2 linked regions of the Drosophila melanogaster genome follow. The protein of the gene in region 1 purifies or fractionates together with the protein of each later gene. This does not show direct contact. Each region holds a gene or a part of one and is shown in the gene's direction. Other genes may lie near its edges.

The links.
Region 2: the proteins of HtrA2 (region 1) and rho-7 purify together in Drosophila melanogaster (affinity purification with western blotting, with the first as the bait; one study listed by BioGRID). This does not show direct contact.

What each region holds. Positions count from the first base shown.
Region 1 is NT_033777.3:14,508,257-14,513,576, reverse strand, and holds HtrA2 (HTRA2-related serine protease), read left to right. Parts: upstream 1-1,864; 5' UTR 1,865-2,170; coding exon 2,171-2,758; intron 2,759-2,826; coding exon 2,827-3,341; intron 3,342-3,425; coding exon 3,426-3,591; 3' UTR 3,592-4,528; downstream 4,529-5,320. Other genes in the region: CG8461 (uncharacterized protein), read left to right, coding at 30-95, 157-694, 750-880; mRpL11 (mitochondrial ribosomal protein L11), read right to left, coding at 943-1,113, 1,174-1,458, 1,519-1,653.
Region 2 is NT_033778.4:11,985,704-11,990,606, reverse strand, and holds rho-7 (rhomboid-7), read left to right. Parts: upstream 1-1,819; 5' UTR 1,820-1,937; coding exon 1,938-1,984; intron 1,985-2,043; coding exon 2,044-2,245; intron 2,246-2,310; coding exon 2,311-2,605; intron 2,606-2,953; exon of another isoform or gene 2,954-3,105; coding exon 3,106-3,326; exon of another isoform or gene 3,327-3,380; coding exon 3,381-3,580; exon of another isoform or gene 3,581-3,644; coding exon 3,645-3,735; 3' UTR 3,736-3,892; downstream 3,893-4,903. Other genes in the region: CG8298 (uncharacterized protein), read right to left, coding at 1-1,040, 1,097-1,225, 1,280-1,357; CG34231 (uncharacterized protein), read right to left, coding at 3,893-4,146, 4,200-4,344, 4,444-4,536.

The sequences.
Region 1 (5,320 bases):
TAAAATTTTAAACGAAAACTAAAACAAAAATGTCCTCTCCCAGTGAATCCTCTTCAGCTTCTGAGCACGAGGCTAGCGATGACAACGAAACTCAGGTACAAGTAATACAACTATACAGAAATATGGTTTACTACATATGCGAGAACTTCGTTTTAGAATGCCATTCGCGAAGATCTCAAAGGAATGTCATTCGAGGAGATAATGAAACTAAAAGAGGAGCTGGGCGCCAAGGTGTACAAAGAGGCTGTGCTCGGTAGCAAGAGTTCTAGACCCCAAAAACCAAAGGCCAAAACCGACCTCAAGCGGCTAAACAAAAACCGACCTCGTGAAATGACCACCAGACGACAGGTTCCATTTTTGGGCGCCGAGCACAGAGTGGAGCGGAAAAAAAATGTTGAACTCAGAGATCCAAGATTTGACGAAAAATCCGGAACATATAGTGCAGAAACCTTCAAGAAGAACTACCAGTTTGTCTCCCAGATTCGAGCAAAGGAAGTTGGTCAGCTGAAGAAAAAACTGGACGAAGTGGAGGATGAGGCGGAGAAGCACCATATAAAGGACACCATGCAGCGACTTATCAATAAAAATGTGGAGGACAAGAAGTGGCACACCAAACAGAAGCAACTGAAAAAGGAGCGCTCCGCCATTCAGAAGAAACACGATTTGGGACAACAACCTCATTATCTGACAAAGAGTACGTTTCTGATCGACAGCGAAATCAAATTTTAATTTGTTTTTTTTTCCGACAGAGGAGCGTCGAGCTAAGGAACTAGTTGCCCAATTCGAGAAGCTGAAAAACACTGGAAAACTCAACAAGCACATGGAAAAGCGACGCAAGAAGAACGCCGCCAAGGACCGCAAACGCATTGGTATAGAATAAGACTTACGCTTTAAGTATAAATGTATTTTAAACAATTAAAAGCACAGTGCAAATAAGCAAATCTAGCCCGTGCGCAACATCTTTGCTTCCCGCTTCTCCTGCAACTCGCGCCGTTGCTGTTCCACAATTAACTTGCGCTCCTCCAGGAACTCGCCATAGGCCGCCGGATCTATTTCCCTGACCACTTTGATGCCACAGGTCCGAGCAATGCTGATGAGCATCTCACACATTTGCTAAGAGACAAGGCATAAACTTGAGTCGAAGTTATATCTCAAACTTTTCGGAATACCGACCTGCATGGTAAGAAGTACATTGGGCGGGTCCTGAATCTTAATAGCTGCAATCTCGTACAAATGCTTGAGAGTGATCATGCCGGCAACCTCCTTGCCAGGAGTCATGGTGCCCCTTTGTATGCCCGCCGCTTGCTTCAGGAAAAATGTGGCCGGCGGATGGTGGATGGCCAAGTCGTAGCTGCGATCGCTGTTTACGGAAATTCTGCACGGCAGCGGTACGCCCTCTTTCATTTCCGCGGTCTTGGCATTAAAGTCCTTGCAGAAAGCGGCGATATTAATCGCTCTCTGTGTGTGGTTAAAAACAAAATTATATACATATTTTAGTTTTAAAGCCGGCTAACTCACCTGTCCCAACATCGGTCCCAATGGCGGACCTGCAGCAGCCATTCCCGCAGGTATATTCGTCTTCAGTTTGCTCGTGTGCGTCACACGTTCCACCGTCTTCTTTAGCGATTTCAGCTTACCCGCTGCCTTCGACATTTTAATTGATTTATTTTAACTAAACAATTGATTCAAACTGTTATGCAAAGCGAAATGTGTTGGTGGAAGGAAGAAGAAGCAGCAACAGCTGATGGTATTGCTGTCGTTTCTAGTTGGAACGTATAGCTGAATAGCTAAAAACATACTTCCGAATGTGGTCTTTAGCAACATTAAACATGAGATGATGGTTTAAAAGATCCAAATGTCATTTGCACAATAGCAGGCTTTTAAAAATACTATATACAATACTATGAAAGCAGCTAAAATTTTAAAAGCCCTTTGAATTATAGCTAAATGTACAATAGCCAAATTCCCGTGATAAGCAGACGATTAGCCACCCCTGATGCGAAGAAGAAGCATCGCGGCCAACAGCTGTTTGCATTGCCTATCGCCTATCGGTAGTCGAGGGTGTCGCAGCAGGCAGCTTTTGTGGCAGAGTGCCAAATTGAAATCAGCTGCCAGCTGAGAAGTGATAAATTAAATAACAATAACAAACGCCGTGTAATCACATAAACCCATGGCTTTGCGCGGTTCCCACCGCTTGGAAGTGATCTTCAAACGCTGCATTGCCTCCCCGGTGTTACACAGTCATGCAGCCAATCGGAGGAGCAGTCAACTAGCGATCAAAGAAGGCGATCCAAACAGCAATGGTAACAGTGGGCAATATCAGCAAAATGGTGAACAAAAAGAAAAAGGCTGGAGACGATTGGTTCGATTCTTTGTGCCCTTCTCCCTGGGCGCTGTGGTCAGTGCGGCGATCATACAGCGGGAAGACTTAACGCCAACGATCGCCGCTTCCAAAATGACCGGTCGTCGGCGGGACTTCAACTTTATAGCTGATGTGGTGGCAGGTTGTGCGGATTCGGTGGTCTACATTGAGATTAAGGACACCCGCCACTTTGACTACTTCAGCGGCCAACCGATTACGGCATCGAATGGTTCCGGCTTCATTATTGAGCAGAACGGTCTCATCCTTACCAACGCCCATGTGGTGATCAACAAACCACACACAATGGTACAGGTGAGGCTATCCGATGGCAGGACTTTTCCCGCCACCATCGAGGACGTGGATCAGACATCCGATCTGGCGACTTTGCGCATACAGGTAAGCGTACAGTTGAATTTCTAAGCAGCGCAAGTTCTATATGCATATCTTTAAATCCAATCTTACAGGTGAACAATCTTTCGGTGATGCGGCTAGGCAAGAGCAGTACCCTGCGATCCGGCGAGTGGGTTGTGGCCTTAGGCAGTCCGCTGGCCCTAAGCAATACGGTGACAGCAGGCGTAATCAGTTCAACGCAGCGTGCATCTCAAGAACTTGGCCTTCGAAACAGGGATATCAACTACCTGCAAACGGATGCTGCGATTACGTTTGGCAACTCCGGCGGTCCCTTGGTCAATCTGGATGGCGAGGCTATTGGAGTTAACTCGATGAAGGTGACGGCTGGCATTAGCTTCGCAATACCCATTGACTATGTAAAGGTGTTTCTGGAGCGGGCGGCCGAGAAACGAAAGAAGGGCTCGGCCTACAAGACTGGCTATCCGGTGAAGCGGTACATGGGCATCACCATGCTGACGCTCACACCGGATATTCTGTTCGAGCTCAAGTCACGAAGCCAAAACATGCCCAGCAACTTAACGCACGGCGTGCTCGTGTGGAAGGTTATCGTTGGGTCACCGGCGCACAGGTGGGTCAATACCTAAGTGGTTAACCTATCAATCAACCAGCATTTTCCATTACAACGTGCTTTTTTGCTCTACCTCCTTTTTAGTGGTGGACTCCAACCCGGAGACATAGTGACCCACATAAACAAGAAGGAGATCAAGAACTCATCGGATGTCTACGATGCCCTGGCGGATAATAGTAAAACTCTAGATATAGTGATCCTGCGAGGTGTGAAGCAGATGCACGTGACCATTACGCCAGAAGATCCCTAGTTTAACCTGTATGCAGCACCTGTACCCAATTGTATATATTTATATATCTAAACAAAACCTACCGATCCTGGGAAGAAATCGCTGACAAACCCACCCCCCACACGCTCCTATTCCTAATCGGGTGCGCCTGCCTATATTTGTCTCTGGCTAACGAGTAGGGAAATTTGCATAGATCGCGGGCTCGTTATCAGTGGCCATTATTAACAGCGGCACGACCATAAGTTAATCTACGCATCGGACGGCACGAAAATGTATCTCCGACTGGGTCGATTGGGTCGTCTGTCCGTTTCCGAACATCATCGATTTCTCTTTCATGGAGCGCTGTGCGTGTCCCCTACCATCCGTCTGTCTGACCGTCCGTCCGTCCGTCCGTCCGTTTGTCCTCTTCCAACAACGACAAAAATATATTTACGCTAATTGAAATATCTTGCGTTGCGATCAATCGATGCCATATTTTTTATAGGCCAAACCTCGGCAGTGCAAAAAATGCAGCAGCAACATCAGACGCAAAAAACGTCGAAAAGCGAAATGCAAATTTCAATAAATTTATGCAACTGTATTCCCAGCGCTTCACTTGGCCAGCTGTTCAATACCCTCGATAGGGGTACGTTAGGTATATTTTACAAAATGAAAAATTCTATTTTTTGGGTGCTGAGAAGTTCAATGGTCGAATAGCGAACTTATTGCAAATTATTATTAATAATTATTTTATGAAACTGAACCTTTAAAATGTATTGTCTAGTTGAATCACATTGCATATTCAGACAAAAATATTCAGTCGTAGTTTATGATGTTAACCCTATTTCATCGAAACAAACATGAATGTGTAATTGAAATGAGTCTTCTCAAATCTACATGTTATGTGCATAAACAAAACAAACCTAAAATATGACCTAATAGTTGAAATGCATTAAATGGAATTTGTATCCGAAACAATCTTTGTACACATTTAAAAAAAAGGGTATTCAAACCTCACATAGCTGAGCTCAGATTGGTTTGGCTTCGGTTTATTTGTGGGTGACAAGGCAGACGTTGCCAATGATGATGTTGTTGCCGCTGCTGCTGCTGCTGTTGCTGTTGCTGTCGTTGCGTGAAAAGTGAAATTCTTGTGATTATTAATTTTGTTTTCGCTTTTGGCGATGCTACGCTTTTTTGGCTTTTGCATATAAATTCATATATTGATTCCGCCGGACTGACCATTGTTGCTGGCATTGCCGTTGTTGTTTATGTGACAGCGGCCTTTATGACATTGTTGGCACTAAGTTACCTTTATTGCTTATAAGCCGCACGCATAAATGCAGCTTAAAGTTCATAAATTTGCCAATATTCACTCGGCAAGGGGTTAAGCAAACGGACCTCGCTTTTGCGATCGTGTAAACACTTTTTACTTCATTCACTGGCGCCCCACGCTTTTTGCACTTTCTTTCTGCCATTTCAGCCGCTTGCTTGCCGGGCATTCGTTTCCATTTCCATTTCCATTTCGGTTTCGGTTTTTAGTTTTCAATCTCATTCCCAGTGCCGTCTGCACTCTGTGCGCCGACTAATTGAAATATTTAAAATGCATAAAAGTATCGCATTTAAGCCTTGCAATTAGTTTGTGGTGATCCCGCAGTTTGCCGTCGTCGTGGGTACGGATATGTAGATATATGTTGTAGTCGCCAGTTGTTGTGGGGCGCTTAAATTACAAACCTGTGAGAAATTTAGTCGCTGGTTTAGTTGCTTTGTGACT
Region 2 (4,903 bases), on another chromosome or scaffold:
TCCGCTGTAGTCTGGCTGGTAAGTCCCAAGATTATGCCCCTGGCATCGTGTCGCCAGTAGGGTGCGTACATGCCATGAAATGCCGGCACAAACGTAATCTCCGACCTCTTGGCTGCCAGTCCACACTCGGCATTCAGCATGGATGAGGAACAAGAGGACGAGATCATCGAGTTCTCGCCGATGAATGTATTCAAAGACTCCACCACATTATCATTGGAATTAATCTCAGTATTGATCTGTAGCTTATCCCGCAGCCATGTAACCGTGGAACCGGCATTTGAAATGGCTCCCTCGAGTGTGTAGTTAGTGGCCGCTTTTTCGCCCAGCTTGTGCGCTATGCCCGTTATCAGTCCGTTTGCAGAGTCCAGCTTCTCCCTGCCCGTGTTAAGGAGCACGAAACAGCTGTCGTCCAGGGTACAGACATTTTGCCCGGCCTTCACGCAGAGTTGGCCCAACAAACTTGCGGGCTGCTCACCCATCATGGCCGCTATGGGAGTGCCATGCAAAGGACCCTCCAGCACATAGCCGAAGATTTCGGAGTTGGATCGTATGCGTGGCAGTATGTTCAGGGGCAATCGAAAGAACTGGCAGAGTTTAGGATCCCACTGCTCTGTGGACACGTTCATAAGGGAAGTGTAGTGGGCATTGGTAATGTCAGTAGAGTGCACACCCATCTCAACGCCGCCGGTTAGGTTCCACAGAAGCCAGGAGTCCAAGGTGCCGAATAAGCACTTGTTCTCCTCAATGGCAGTGGCTACGGCAGGAACGTGATCCATTAGCCAACGGATCTTTAGGGCACTGAAACAGCTGCTCAGGGGCAAGCCACTGCGATACCTCACGTAGTCCACATTGTGCCGGACATTATGGAGCAGGGTCTTTAGGATGGGAGTGCTACGGCAATCTGACCATCCGATGGCATTGTGCAGTGGCTGTCCCGTCTCCAAATTCCATAACACCGAGGTGCCCCGCTGATTTACGATACCGATGGCAATAATATCACGTGGATTGATCTCTAGTATAACCAGGTTCTTATAGGCGGTCTGCAAATGTAGTCAGATTAGTTGCCGCATGATGATATAACCCGGCGATTAACAACCTCTATGCACTCCTGTGTGTTCTTCCATATCTCCGACGGATCGTACTCCATCCAGCCCGCCTGGTGGACAATCTGTCGCAGCTTCAGCTCATGGTAGGCCAGGACCTCGGCATTTTTCGTTGAGTATATCTATGAAAATAGAATCTGAGTCAGCGGCCGTTTTCGGCTTTAGGACCTTCTCACCAGAAAGCGGCAGTGGGTGCTGCTCACGCAGGCGACGCCGATGAGTGCTCCGAATCTCCCGTAACGACCGTTGGACATCTTTGGCCTGATGGGTGTCCACGGACACGTGCTTAATGGTGTTAAGGCTCGCTAGCCGAGCAAAATAAGCAAGTCGTGTTTTGTTGTTGTCGCTTTTTGGAACGCCAATTGTCTAGTGATGTAAAAATTCATTTTTTCATCGAAAATCGATGCTAGCTATCGATTTCTTAGCGAATACGCTAACCACAGGTTGGAGTACAATTCCGATCGAGAGTAATTAATCTGACCGTGGGCCTAGGTATTACAATAAATTCGACGCTTCAAATACCCTTTATTATGTAAAACTTGCAATTTACTAATTTAAAAATTGATTTAAAAGAGCTTATATTTAATATGGCTTATTATAAATGCCTGGAATAGATGTAATATCTTTGATGTTAAAGCTTTGATTTATCTATTAATTTATGAATAAAGACATTTGTCACACTTCAGGCAACTCTAAGAACACCCTGTAAGACTGGCATTTTTGGCTTTGCACAATCTGGTCACACCTATACTTTTCCGGGCCCTTCTCTCCAGAAAGCAAAATAGAAACAAATTTTCCATATTTCATGCTAAATTGGCACAGATCCGTACTACTATGCTCATGAGTCGAGCGCTTTGCCGGAGCTGGCTACCCCAGGTGGCGTAAGTAAGCAGGCGGTGACGGAGTTCCGTATCCGGAGTAACCCCACGTAAACTTACAGCCGCAGATGTCATGCTAATGTGAATGTGCCAATCCTGCGGATAAACTCTGGTCATCCGGCGGCGAGGTCATGTCGGCAGATTCACAGCAACCGAAAACAGAGCAGCAACCTGAAGCCGACGACTGGGGAGCCTGCGGCAGCGGAGCAGAACACCCCGGTGCCGGTGAACAATGTGATCAAGGCGGTGGCCTTCACGGGAGCAGTAAGATTTAATCATGACCAGCACTTGTACGGGGATCTCATATAGTCCCTGATTCACGCTTGTAGTTTACGGTCGGCTGCTTTGCGGGTGCCACCATCCTGGAGTACGAGAACACACGTAGCCTAATCCTAGAAAAGGCTCGCCAGGCGAGATTCGGTTGGTGGCAGAGTCGTTCGCTGGCGGACAGGGATTACTGGACACAGATCAAACAAGACATCCGGCGGCACTGGGACTCACTGACACCCGGCGACAAGATGTTTGCTCCTATCTTACTCTGCAATTTGGTGGCCTTCGCCATGTGGCGGGTGCCCGCTCTGAAATCCACAATGATTACCTACTTCACATCCAATCCAGCGGCGAGTAAGTGCTAAAATCCAATATGAAACCGAAAAAGTGATATCACAACGCCCAGATCTTGCGAAATTACGTACTTCTAGGCAGTATGCCAAAATGGATTTGATTGCCTTTTTAATCACAAAAAATAGAAGTATAAAGTTATCTTGGTTATGCATTTTTTGGCCATTATCGCAATGTATCAGATAAGATGCATTCAATTATTAAAATCGCCTAAAAAAATAATTAAATACATTACACGTGAAAAGTATTAGACGAATAGTAGTCGACCGGAAATCCATGTTATTTATGGTTATATAAGAAAGTGGTCGAATTTCTTCTAGTTATGTCAGCTTGTTATTTTCCATCTTTTTTATGTAAACTTTTGGTTTTACCTGAATAACAAATGTTCAAATGTTAAGTTCAAAAAGTTTTGGACTTATAAACTATTTTTTACTTTGTAGTATTTTATGATATTTGTTTTTTACAACCCCCCTAACTAATTGTGTTTGATACCCTTCTCGCAGAAGTCGTCTGCTGGCCCATGTTCCTGTCCACATTCAGCCATTACTCGGCTATGCACCTTTTCGCCAATATGTACGTGATGCACAGCTTTGCCAACGCTGCGGCTGTATCGTTGGGTAAAGAGCAATTCTTAGCGGTCTACCTCAGCGCCGGCGTCTTCTCCAGTCTGATGAGCGTGCTCTACAAGGCGGCCACGAGTCAGGCGGGGATGTCCCTGGGTGCGGTAAGACAGCCTTTATTCCACGTAGTATCTATAAACTTAAAGCTCTTCCCTTAGTCTGGAGCTATAATGACACTGCTGGCCTATGTATGCACCCAGTATCCGGACACACAACTTAGCATTCTCTTTCTACCCGCGTTGACATTCTCCGCTGGAGCTGGTATTAAAGTGCTAATGGGCATCGACTTTGCTGGCGTCGTGATGGGCTGGAAGTTCTTCGATCACGCAGCGCATTTGGGCGGCGCCATGTTTGGCATGTAAGTTTGGCGTGTATGTTTATACCATCACAGGTTGTCTTATTAATCCTACGGTAATTTACAGCTTTTGGGCCACGTATGGGGCACAGATATGGGCAAAGCGCATTGGTCTACTGAATTACTACCATGACCTGCGCCGGACGAAGCAGAAATAGTACAGGAGGCTTGGGGATTCGCCAAGTGAACGGACGGGGAGCTGAGGCAATAGAGCGGTAGCGAGTAGCACTACGCTGTGTCAATAAGAGTGACATCGTTCTGCCTTAGAAGTTCATTGAAATCAGTTAAGTTGAATAAATCGTTGACATCCTGTACTCATGTGGTTTCCCGGCTCTTTTTTGGAACTTGTGTTTGATCCTTCTGATTTCTTCGAATACGAAAAGCTACTTCGTGCCTGCGCTGCTGAATCTTCTCCCTAAGTTCCTCAAGGGATTCTCGTTCTGGAGCGTATGATATGTGCAAGATTCCACCATAGAACTGATGAGCATCGAGCATTTTCTTGGCTCTTCTCGCCACCTCAAGGCGCTCGAACTTCACGGCAAACACATCTGTAAAAGCTTCCAGATCCACTGAAACAAAAGGAACACTATATAAAAAAGATCTTGAACAGGGATAATCATACTTTTTGAAGCCATCTCTGAAGTTACCGAAATACATGATTGCACTTTACCAAATCCTTGTAGTTTCGTCCTGAGATTAGCTTGAAGATTTATTTTAGGTACCCCAAAGATCAGCAAATGACGGGACTCACTAGCAACTGTATAAACCTACAAAGGATAAAAAACACAATAAAAGTACAATAAAACATTGCTATTACTATAAAGCTATTACTAAACTATTACTACTAAACATTACTATTTCCCCACCTTGACAGCTTTCAATTCGCGGCCCTGACGGTATTTCAATCTTGTAGTGCAGTATTCCAGACGTTTGTGGTGTTCAGAAGAAGAGGCTTCCATATTCAGGATATTAAAAACAAAACTACAACTAAACGGATTTGTTTATTATTATTTTCAAGTCCACGATTAAACGTACTTATCGATAAATATCAACAGCCAGCTGTTATGTTATTGTACTGTTATTTACATGATTCGCTGTAATGGAATTCATTCAAAGTTGTTGAATTGAGTATGTTAGCACCTGTTGCATTTCCAAATAATTCGAGATTTCCAAAAAAAAAATTAATTTTAAGTCAATGTCCTTGGAAAAAAATTTTAACTTTGTTTCACCTTGATTTTTTATCTAATTGTAGCAAGAGGACCAAATTTTTTCACTCAAAACTAATTAAGTGGCGTTTCATCAGCTGTTTTCTGGATTAGTCTAGGG